Kluyveromyces lactis: one gene and its partners. The protein of the gene in region 3 purifies or fractionates together with the protein of the main gene of each other region. This does not show direct contact. Links are inferred from orthologs where the notes say so. Each region holds a gene or a part of one and is shown on either strand. Other genes may lie near its edges.

The links.
Region 1: the proteins of RSM23 (region 3) and RSM7 purify together in Saccharomyces cerevisiae (affinity purification with mass spectrometry; 3 studies listed by BioGRID). This does not show direct contact. The link is inferred for Kluyveromyces lactis from reciprocal best matches to the Saccharomyces cerevisiae genes RSM23 and RSM7.
Region 2: the proteins of RSM23 (region 3) and RSM22 purify together in Saccharomyces cerevisiae (affinity purification with mass spectrometry; 3 studies listed by BioGRID, with this or other methods). This does not show direct contact. The link is inferred for Kluyveromyces lactis from reciprocal best matches to the Saccharomyces cerevisiae genes RSM23 and RSM22.

What each region holds. Positions count from the first base shown.
Region 1 is NC_006041.1:512,170-514,779, reverse strand, and holds RSM7 (mitochondrial 37S ribosomal protein uS7m), read right to left. Parts: upstream 1,296-2,610; coding exon 501-1,295; downstream 1-500. Other genes in the region: KLLA0_E05765g (uncharacterized protein), read left to right, coding at 1-428; PSY4 (Psy4p), read left to right, coding at 2,236-2,610.
Region 2 is NC_006041.1:1,031,375-1,035,391, forward strand, and holds RSM22 (tRNA methyltransferase RSM22), read right to left. Parts: upstream 2,691-4,017; coding exon 501-2,690; downstream 1-500. Other genes in the region: KLLA0_E11661g (40S ribosomal protein eS27), read left to right, coding at 1-149; SRP102 (Signal recognition particle receptor subunit beta), read left to right, coding at 2,987-3,760; KLLA0_E11727g (uncharacterized protein), read right to left, coding at 3,908-4,017. UniProt on the Saccharomyces cerevisiae protein: Mitochondrial ribosome (mitoribosome) assembly factor. Binds at the interface of the head and body domains of the mitochondrial small ribosomal subunit (mt-SSU), occluding the mRNA channel and preventing compaction of the head domain towards the body.
Region 3 is NC_006038.1:197,350-200,524, forward strand, and holds RSM23 (mitochondrial 37S ribosomal protein mS29), read right to left. Parts: upstream 1,809-3,175; coding exon 501-1,808; downstream 1-500. Other genes in the region: CEG1 (mRNA guanylyltransferase), read left to right, coding at 1-392; pseudouridine synthase PUS1, read right to left, coding at 2,165-3,175.

The sequences.
Region 1 (2,610 bases), on a different chromosome or scaffold from region 3:
CAGTAACATTTTTCTCGAGTGTATGTTTTGTTGTCTTCCTCGGATTAACTACTGATGCCAGGTTAAAGCTAATAACATCAACTCATGATAAGCTCGCCCATTGCATAGTATTTTGCATTGAAACCGTTCTGTTTACCATGATGTTTGAATGTGATACCGTACAGTTGCCGGCATTCATCCCCAAAAGACTACGATCAAGGAATTTGGCTGCGTACGAACCTTTTTCCATGAACAAATATCTATTGGCATTTATTGTATGCTGCGTATGTGCCAGTACGAGCAGTGAATTTGCACAACAGTTCCTCTCACGAGGAAAAAGGTCCTTTGATGTAAACGATATTTTGGCCAATTTTTCGGGAAGTCTGCTGGGCCTAGGAATTGCATATAAGATAGAGCAACAAATTCAGCATAACTATGAAAATCGATAACGTTCATTTATATTTCACGTATACATATGTACAGGTTTATTCAAGTAAATACAGTGGAGGTTGGAACTTTGATCATTTTAGGTTAATGTAAGCTCTGTGTGCAATAGCAGTCTTATGAATAGAGTCTCTCTTTTCGAAACCTGAACTATTACCGTTGAAGACAGATACCAATTCTTCACCAAGTCTTACTGAGAAATCGCTCGATGATCTCTTCACAGAACTTTCCACAATCCATTTCCAAGCTAATCTAAACCTTTGTCTTTGATTCAATGGAACTGGAACCACAGTGGCCTTTGCGACACCAGTCTTGAAGGTCTTGATAACCATAAGAGGCGCCAACACATCCAAGGATTCTTTCAAAACTTTTACCGGGTCTTTCCTTGTTTGACAGAACACAATATATAACGCTCTTGAAAGAATCTTCTCAGCTCTTTCTCTTTTCCCGTGTCTCATAATCATATTCGTTACATGCTGTAAAACTGGATCCTGTTTTTTTGGAATGGGAACTTGCTTCAACGTTTCCCATTCATTTATTTGCTCTTGACTTGGCTCAAAGCTGGGCTTGTTCAATTCCATAGCCTTCTCCAAGATATTAATTCTAGATTGGTTACCTGGTGCAAGGGACGTAGCTGGGTTATAATCTTGTTGCGAAAACTCTTCTTCTAACGATCCAATAACTTTCAACCATTCATCAACCTGTTCGTCGCTAAGGCTAGCTAATTTCTCCCCTGTAGACGCATTATTATTCACAGATTGACTTTGGAATCTGGTTTGCATGGTCGGTATACTGGCAGCATGTACAAGTGGACTTCTTGCCAAAACGTTAGCATGGACGTGACTCAGACTAAACCTTCCTGCTCTCAACATACTGTACAATTTCCGTTGAATAGATGCCAGTGTACACAAGGACCACACAAGGACACACACAATACAACCAGAACCTATTCAATCTAAGAGTAACTCTCATTAGATCCAAATTCAAGCTTACTTCACCAGAATATGATGATATTGAATTTGGTTTGAAAATCGTAAATTTTTTTGATCAAAGGTTCAGAGATGAGCCAGTGTGAACAGTGTTACCCGCATAAATACACGTGACTACTAATGATCTGTTTCTATGTGCCGTTGGTAGTTTTGCCTGTCAGTGCATTGAGCACAAGCTTGCCAAGAATAATTAATGATATTATATAGACTGTACCTTATTAGACACCTTAGCCTTTAATATTATAGTAAAGATGTCGTTGATCTATTTTGTATTCAGGTATGTAACTATAGTATCTTTAGAACTTCCGTACTTAAGTGTTAAAATTCCTGCCGTTCTTAAGTGAAATCCTTTAAATAATATCACATTTCGTTACGTGAAAAGTTGGTGAAATTTGTTATATGCGCACAATATTATGTGAAATGATAAATAAAAGAAATTTGTTCAAATAACATGTAGGTTTCTAAGCTACAAAGATAGAACGGTCAATCAACAGACTAGAGAACGAACTTTATAAGGCTGCTGGCTGAGCTGGGATTGGCTAACCGTGTACTGTCTATTGGGACTAGGTGTTACAAGTCCGTTGTTTCATATTATTTTCCGAGACTATCCTTTTTATCTATTCTATATCTGCCAGTTTGGAATAAAAAAGGCATCGCTCATACTGGACTTATTTGTGCTAATTAGAATACCCCGAGAACACCGATCTTTCGTTAGTGCCATTTCAAGGAGATCTAACCAAGTGTAATATTACTATACCGTAGAATTTTTTTTTTTTTGCCAGCCTTTCCTACTATCAGCTCATTAATCAGATACATTGTCAATATGATGGGAATAAAATCCAGACATCTATACGACCGTTTGACTAAAATAGTTATCGATAAAGATCTAAGCGCGTTTAACGAAATATCGCCTTCGCAATTGATCCCACAGCTATCTGAACATTTCAGCATAACGATACCGAAGGAGATCTTCAATTATAACGAGGACCAAGAGGAAGACCTTTTACACAGATTGAAAGAGCTATCGAGGTACCTTGTTGTGAAATTTGCAAAAAGAGATAAGTATCCGTTCACGATTCAACGGATATGCGAATTATCTTACCATCCATTACAATATTTCCCTGTGCACAGTTTGCAAAAGTTTGTGTCGGCCATGGAGAAATGTTGCTTGGTGAATACTGATTGGACACCCAGGCTG
Region 2 (4,017 bases), on a different chromosome or scaffold from region 3:
ATGTCAAGTGCCCAGGTTGTTTGAACATCACTACTGTGTTCTCTCACGCTCAAACCGCTGTCACTTGTGAATCATGCTCTACCGTCTTGTGTACCCCAACCGGTGGTAAGGCCAAGTTGTCTGAAGGTACTTCTTTCAGAAGAAAATAGATTAATCACTTTCTATAGCACACCAATAATTTTAACATAAAACGTATTCATTCTGTTGTACAGTTACGAGTTGACTTCTCTTCTTTACACTGCTCTTTATGGTCCGTGGCGCCTGTTTTATTTGGCATGTCATTGACAATGTGATGCTGGTGTAGTATGGTATATGTATTTGGATGTAACCACATAGTAATATACTAGAACGTTATGTCTTCCCTTTAAAGCTAAAGTAAAATTCATATTTGAATTAAAATAAATAAATAAATATAATTGACCCAGTGTCTTTCTTTTATAATGGGATGTAGTTATTAGTTATTTACAAGAAATTGATTTGTTAACCCTCCGCTGGAAGATTTAATACTCATCCACTGCCAATTTCCGGTTGGCATATTTCTTCTCCTTCTTTGCATTCGATAACTGGAAATTGTGCTCATGGAATTTAGCTAACGTATCAACAGCTGATTCGGGATCCATATGTTCTCTTTCATTGTCTAATTGATTTGCCATGTCTTTCAATTCACGTGATTTTGATTTCACAGCTCTCTTCATCTTCTTGATCTTTTCCTTATGCAGTTTCTCAAATTTATTTACATTTAAGGCACCTCCGCCTGCTAGTTTCGTCTTTGCATCTAATGTCCACAAATCTCCCTTTTGAGTCTTTCTAGCATCGTGATATATCTGTTTGTCTAAGGATTTTGGGACAATCCACTTCTCAAATTTACCAGATGGTGCGCAGAGATCGAGAATCACATGTCCTTTTCTCTTAGTAGGTTGTTTAACGATTCTAGGCCACGTATTGGCAGTTTCATCTCCCAATGAGCCAATATCGTACTTAATCTTATTTTCTTCTCTTTCACGATTTATTGCTTCAGTCGTGGCTCGATCTTTTGAAGATCTTTGGGCAATCAAATATGAATAGTTTATAATCTCAAAACTCTTACCATTTCTTCTACCTGAGCCTGGTGCAGATTTCCCCTTGATACCGATACCATCAGTTGGAGTTTGCCATGGTGCAGCAAGCACTTTGCCCTTCTTTAATTCAATAGTAAATCTTGGCCTTAGTACAGTCTTTTGGAAATTACAGAAATTCAATTTCGAACCTTCATCTAAATCGTAATAATGAGGTTTCCCTATCTGTAATGGACATTTTCTATGGTGTGAACAAGGTGCAACGATCTTGATGAAATAACTTTCTTCATCACTAGATGTTCCTCTTTTGGAATCTTCCTTTTCAATGGCTTCAAGAAGTTCTGGTTCGAATTCTAAATCTTGTTTGTTTATTTCTCCATATTTGGCATCCAAGTTTTCCATTAACTGTTTATATTCGTCATCATTTATGTTTAAGGATTCAAGTGTGGGCTCTTCGTTCTCAACAGGCACTGAACGATAACTGGTTCTGCCCATCATCTTATTACCTCTATTCCAGGGTCTTGGAATCTTCCCGTGTTCTTCAGGATATTTTTCAGGTCTGATCATGAACTGTCTTGCCCTTGCAATAATCTCAAAACCCATTGGATTGCCCCTTTCTACTATAACTAGATGTCCGTTCGGGGAAAGAAGCTTCAAATAATGATCCAAGTTGTCATCGATTTGGGCTGGGAATCTTTCCTGGTGTCTTAAGAGCTGATGAGTTAGGATGATCAAATCGTATTCGTTGGAACCAGGAACATCTTTACGCAACCTCGTGTTAATATGAATACTCTTCGTAGCTACTTCTCCCAACATCTCGTCATCTCCTTCGATATTGTCAGCTTCTTCTTCTTTCGTTTCGACATTCTCAGTGGGCTCTTCTTCCCCGTATAACATGTCGTCTGGAATTTCATTCAATTGTCTACTCAAAATTATTTTTGCCCTCTTTTGCATCTCAATATGACCTATGATAGTGGCTTCTTTCACTCTGGGTCTGTACTCTTTTCCCATTAAATCGTTCAAAGCAACAATACCAGTGGCTGGCCCATAACCAACATCTAATACTCTTTGAGGATTGAAACTCTCCCCTACCCTTTTCTTAAGTTCTGATAAAGATTGATATATGGCAGCATAATTCTGCACAAAGATTGATGCGATATGAGAATCCACTTCGATGTTCGATGATGTAGGTCGATGAAGGGAGCTTTCGTATAACTCCACGAAATATTTGGATGCGGCTCTTCTTAGATTACCAGGTATATGTAGAGACATTATGTTGTTCTGGATTGCTTGACTCATCACAGACGGCAATTGGATCTGATCTCTCAATACCCGTCCTTCAAGAGTTTTGGGTAGAAGTCTTGCCTCCTCTGCATTTTCACCTTGTAAATGATTCCCATTTTGATCTCTGTAATCTCCTTTAACCTTATCCGAAAGCAAATGATCTCTCTCTATAACTATTGCGTTATCTTTCTGAGAGTCATCAACAACAGAACCAAAACTGGTTGGCGCATTATCTCTTGTAGATGCATCTAAATCATTAACGTTAATCGGGAAATCGGCCAGTGAAGAGTACCTTGACACAGGAATACGAGTGAATATTCGAGGGCTAAGCGTTCGACTGCAACGTAACATATTGGTAGCTTCTTGTCTGGGCTGGTGTCAGTCTATCTATGTTTCTCTATCCACTGAACGTCGCCATCTCATCGCATCTCCAACTGATTTCTCATACAAATTTACAGAATGGTTTTCAAATCTTTTTTTTTTTCTTTTAACTTTTCAGCCTGATAAATTTGTTAAACAGTTTAAAGTCAACATGGACATATAGAGACCCGGTGATTTCAGTTAGGGTTGCTAGTTCTGTGAGTTTCTGTTGCATCTGAAGACTGTTTCTAGGGGCTTGAACATCGAAACCGTAATATATATCGGCAATGTTGTCGACACCAATTTTACTAGCATGCATTATTGTTATGATCAGTGCAGCATTTGTGCTGATCGTACAAAAGACGAGTGCCAACGTGATTCCTGGTGCTTCTAAATACACCAATAGAGCGCCCACTTTCATCATTGCAGGCTTGCCGCAAACGGGGAAGACTGCATTGTTCAATTTGTTAACCACAGACTCGGTCAAACCATCGGTGATGTCACAAGAACCCAATGTGGCTGAAGACTACATGTTACCAACTAGTCATAAGAATTTCAAGTTTAAATTGATCGATTTCCCAGGACATGACAAGTTCCGTTCTGAGCTGCTCCAAACCATCAAGGATTCGAGTCAATTGAAAGGGCTCATTTATGTGATTGATTCTACTATTAATCCTAAGGAATTGGTCAGTACTGCAGAACTATTGTATGAAATATTATCTGTCACCGAATTAAGACCAGACGGAGTTGACATCTTGTTGGCATGCAATAAATCTGAGTCATTCGTGGCAAGACCTCCATCAAAGATCAAGGGTGCTTTGGAGAAGGAAATAACTGAAATCATGAAGAGAAAGGCCAAAAGTTTGAAGGCAAACTCGAAAAAGTCCTTGAGTGACGATGCTAATGACGATGATGACGATGAGGTTGCTGTTCTTCAACAAAACTCAGCCGGATTCGAATTCGATAGAATTGATGGGAATGTAGATGCTAAGGAGGGAAGCGTTTTGAAAAATGATATTGATAAGTGGGAATGCTGGATTGATGAACGTGCAATGAATTAGGCGATCTGCCTTGTTGCCTTTCAGGAATTTTTTTCCCATATTCATATATAGCACATTTAATAAAGCCATGTAATGAACTGTGAACGATTGCGATTTGTCATATCCTTTTCAGCCTTGTTGTTTGGTCATTGAATTTGAAGTTAAAGGTTAAGTATTGGTATGCGTTGGTTTGTCTCTTGTCTTCGGTACATCACTGCAATCATTCCATAACATTACAGCAACTGAGGTTCCAACGATTGAAGTTCCAAGTAGTAACA
Region 3 (3,175 bases):
TCAAGGCCATGGAGGAGCCATTGAACGGAAGAATTGTAGAATGTTCCAAAGATCAGGAATCAGGTGCATGGAAACTACTTAGGTTCAGAGACGATAAACTCAATGGTAATCACGTATCAGTCGTTCAAAAAGTCTTGGAAAGTATCGGTGATTCTGTTTCATTGGATGATCTAGAACAAGTGGTAGATGAAATGAGATCTCGCTGGAAAGAACGTGAACAAGGACTGAAAAATGCACAAAAACAATTCAACCATCAGGCTTCTGCGAGATCGTCGCTGTCGCAGCAACATTCAACCGAACCAGAGCAGTCGCAAGATCAACCAAAATATGTAGACGATGACGATGATAATTGGTCTGATGACGAGCCAGACACAAAAAGACAGAAGATTTAAGAATCTTGCGTCAAGTTAAAAGCATAACATATACACGAGCATATGTGCTCATATTATATTTCTTTCCTGTATTTACATGGGTTTTTTTGTAATATATAATATGTACAATTAGAATGGATATAGTGTAATACTCTTGAGCAATTCCCTTGGATTACCATTACCACTTAAGAAGTACTTTTCTTCGGTAAGCTGTTCGAAGGTTTTGTTCTGTAAATCTTTGTCAAGTACGATACCCGCCTTTTGGTAGAACTCCATCAATTTGGCAACTTCATCTTTATTAAGTTTGGTAACTTCGAACTCCTGTACTTTACCCTTTAGTAACTTTTCGGCCAAAATTTGTTCATAGTGGTATCTGGTCAAATATGGATCGTGAGGAAGCTTTTGCAAACCAATTGATAACGTTCTATTGGTTCTATCCAAACCCGAAGTAGCCAAAACAACACAGCTGTCCTTAGCAGCGAATTGCAAATCGCCAGAGACTAAATCAAAAATAGATTGACCAACCTGGAATTTTAAAATATGAATATTTTTGTTGCTTGTGTCTTTATATGCTGTGAATGGTGTAGTCAAAAGATGGGAGAAGTTATCAACAGTGAAATAGACCGGATGATCAGTTTGGTTAGTTAATTCTTTAATGAATGCATCGAAAACGGCTCCACGGTGACGAGATGGTGCCTTGACACTTAGTAAATCGTATAACGTGGATTTACCTGCAGATAAATTCACATTTCTCTTCACAGATAGGTCTTTACCCCCAGAGTGAACTAATTTATAGTCTTTGGAGAGTTTAATGGATTGCAATAATTCTTTTTTGTTGGATTTGACAAATTTGGTTAATAAGTTCTTGATGTACATTGGTTGAATGTATCTGTCTTCATCCAAGAAGAAGTCATTTCTACCATTTGTAAGAAGTTCGGAGTTGGAAACAGTTAACACAAGTCCCTTGTTTTCTAGTGCGTGAGCATGTAGCTGGGCCAGTAGAGTAGACTTACCCACACCTGGTTCACCTGTTAGAACAAGCTTTTTGTTTTCTGACTTCCGTAAGGCTTCGTACAATTTTCTAGTGGTGGAATCTCTAACTAGTGATATTGGACGTGTGAACAATTCATTGAATTGATTTTGCTTGAATGAACCCAGACGATACAAGAATTGTAATTGCTGCTCTGAGAAAGAATGGACATCTGCGGCACTGATGTTATTAGGATTAAACATGGGCAGATCGACAAAAGTTGCATTTTTATGTAAATTAGCCGTTGCAACAGCTGGTTGCCATCTCTTATACATGGAACCAGGAGTAATTCTTTTGGCTGCTGCCTTAGTTCCTGATTGAGCCTTAGCGAACCCTTGGGCTTTCTTCTTAGCTGCAGCCTCTACTGCAGCACTGCAGGAGAACTGTCTGGTATGTATTCTCAACATGATCGAAATATATCTTACGGGTCCGGATATCTCTAAAAAGAAGTGAAATCCGTCTCACTAATATAGCTTCTTTTTTACTAAATCACACTTCTGTAATTATTCTTAAAACCAACACAAATTGACTTATTAAAGTGGATTATTTCACGTAGTTCTGTTATTCTTTATCTATGTCACTTGAAGTCTGCCTGCTACTGAAGTAGTTCAAATTTCGAAAATTTTTCAGATATTGAAATCATTAAAGCTTAAGAGAAAATAAAATATACGTGTCACGTGAAAACACTAAGAACTATGGAAGTATATCTATTAAAGGGAAGAACGAAACACGCAATGCTATAAATGGTGTCGGACAGAAGATCTTAATCCTGTAGTTGGATACCTCTTGCTGTGAGGAAATCAAAGATTGGCCTTTGTGGTTTTTTGCCCTTTTCGTCGGATGGAGTAGGATCTGATGGAGCCTTTTGTTCCAAATCTTCGGTAACAAGTTCCACTGCTTGAGAGGGTTGCTGTAGTTCTTGCCCCTTCAGCTGCTGTTGTTCTTGGCTAATATTATATGAAGGGTTGAAGGTGTCGATGTACGAAAAAAAGGCGTTGAAGACGTTTTCATTGACTTCTTCAAGGTAAATTTTATCGTAGATATGTTTCATCTTGAACGTATCCATTTCGCTTTGATATTTACTGAAGTCAATCGGATCATATCCGAATTCTTGTAATCTAGTGTTGTAACCATCATAAACCGGGGCTTCCAATAATAAACCTAAAGCAGGGGCTTTTGGAATATTGATTTTTTCTTGACCGTATGCCTGCCTAATTCTTTCCAATGGACTGAAACATCTTGTGATCAAAGTTGCCATAGATATCATCTTACGAATTTGATGTAACATAAACGATTGACCGTGGATTTTGATCGATACCCATTCCGTCTTAGCTTCACCAATAACAAACGGTTCTGAGACTGTGATTTGCTTCATGAATCTCTTGGCGCTCGGATCGTTGAAATCTTTCCCCAAGGTGAAATTATGGAAGTTAAAAGTACCCTCGTATTGTTTTAATGCACTTCTGAATCTATCTAAACGTTCTTTTGAAATTCTGTAGGCTCTCTTGTGTTCTGCTTCGAGTTTCTTGAATGCTTTGCTCTTTTGATAAGTTTCATTGTTTTCATCAAAAGAATCTTTCGGCATGACAAAAGCTGCAATCTCTTCCAATTCCTCCTTGGTAAACTTAGATTCAGCCTCAGTAGAGAATGCTTCCCAGAATTGTGCACTTTCTACATCATCTTGGATAACATTCGGTATTTCCTTCTTGCTAGCTTCAATCTCGTTGTATAAATAAGTAGACGGTTTTGGGCCAATCAGTGAATAAGTTGGTAA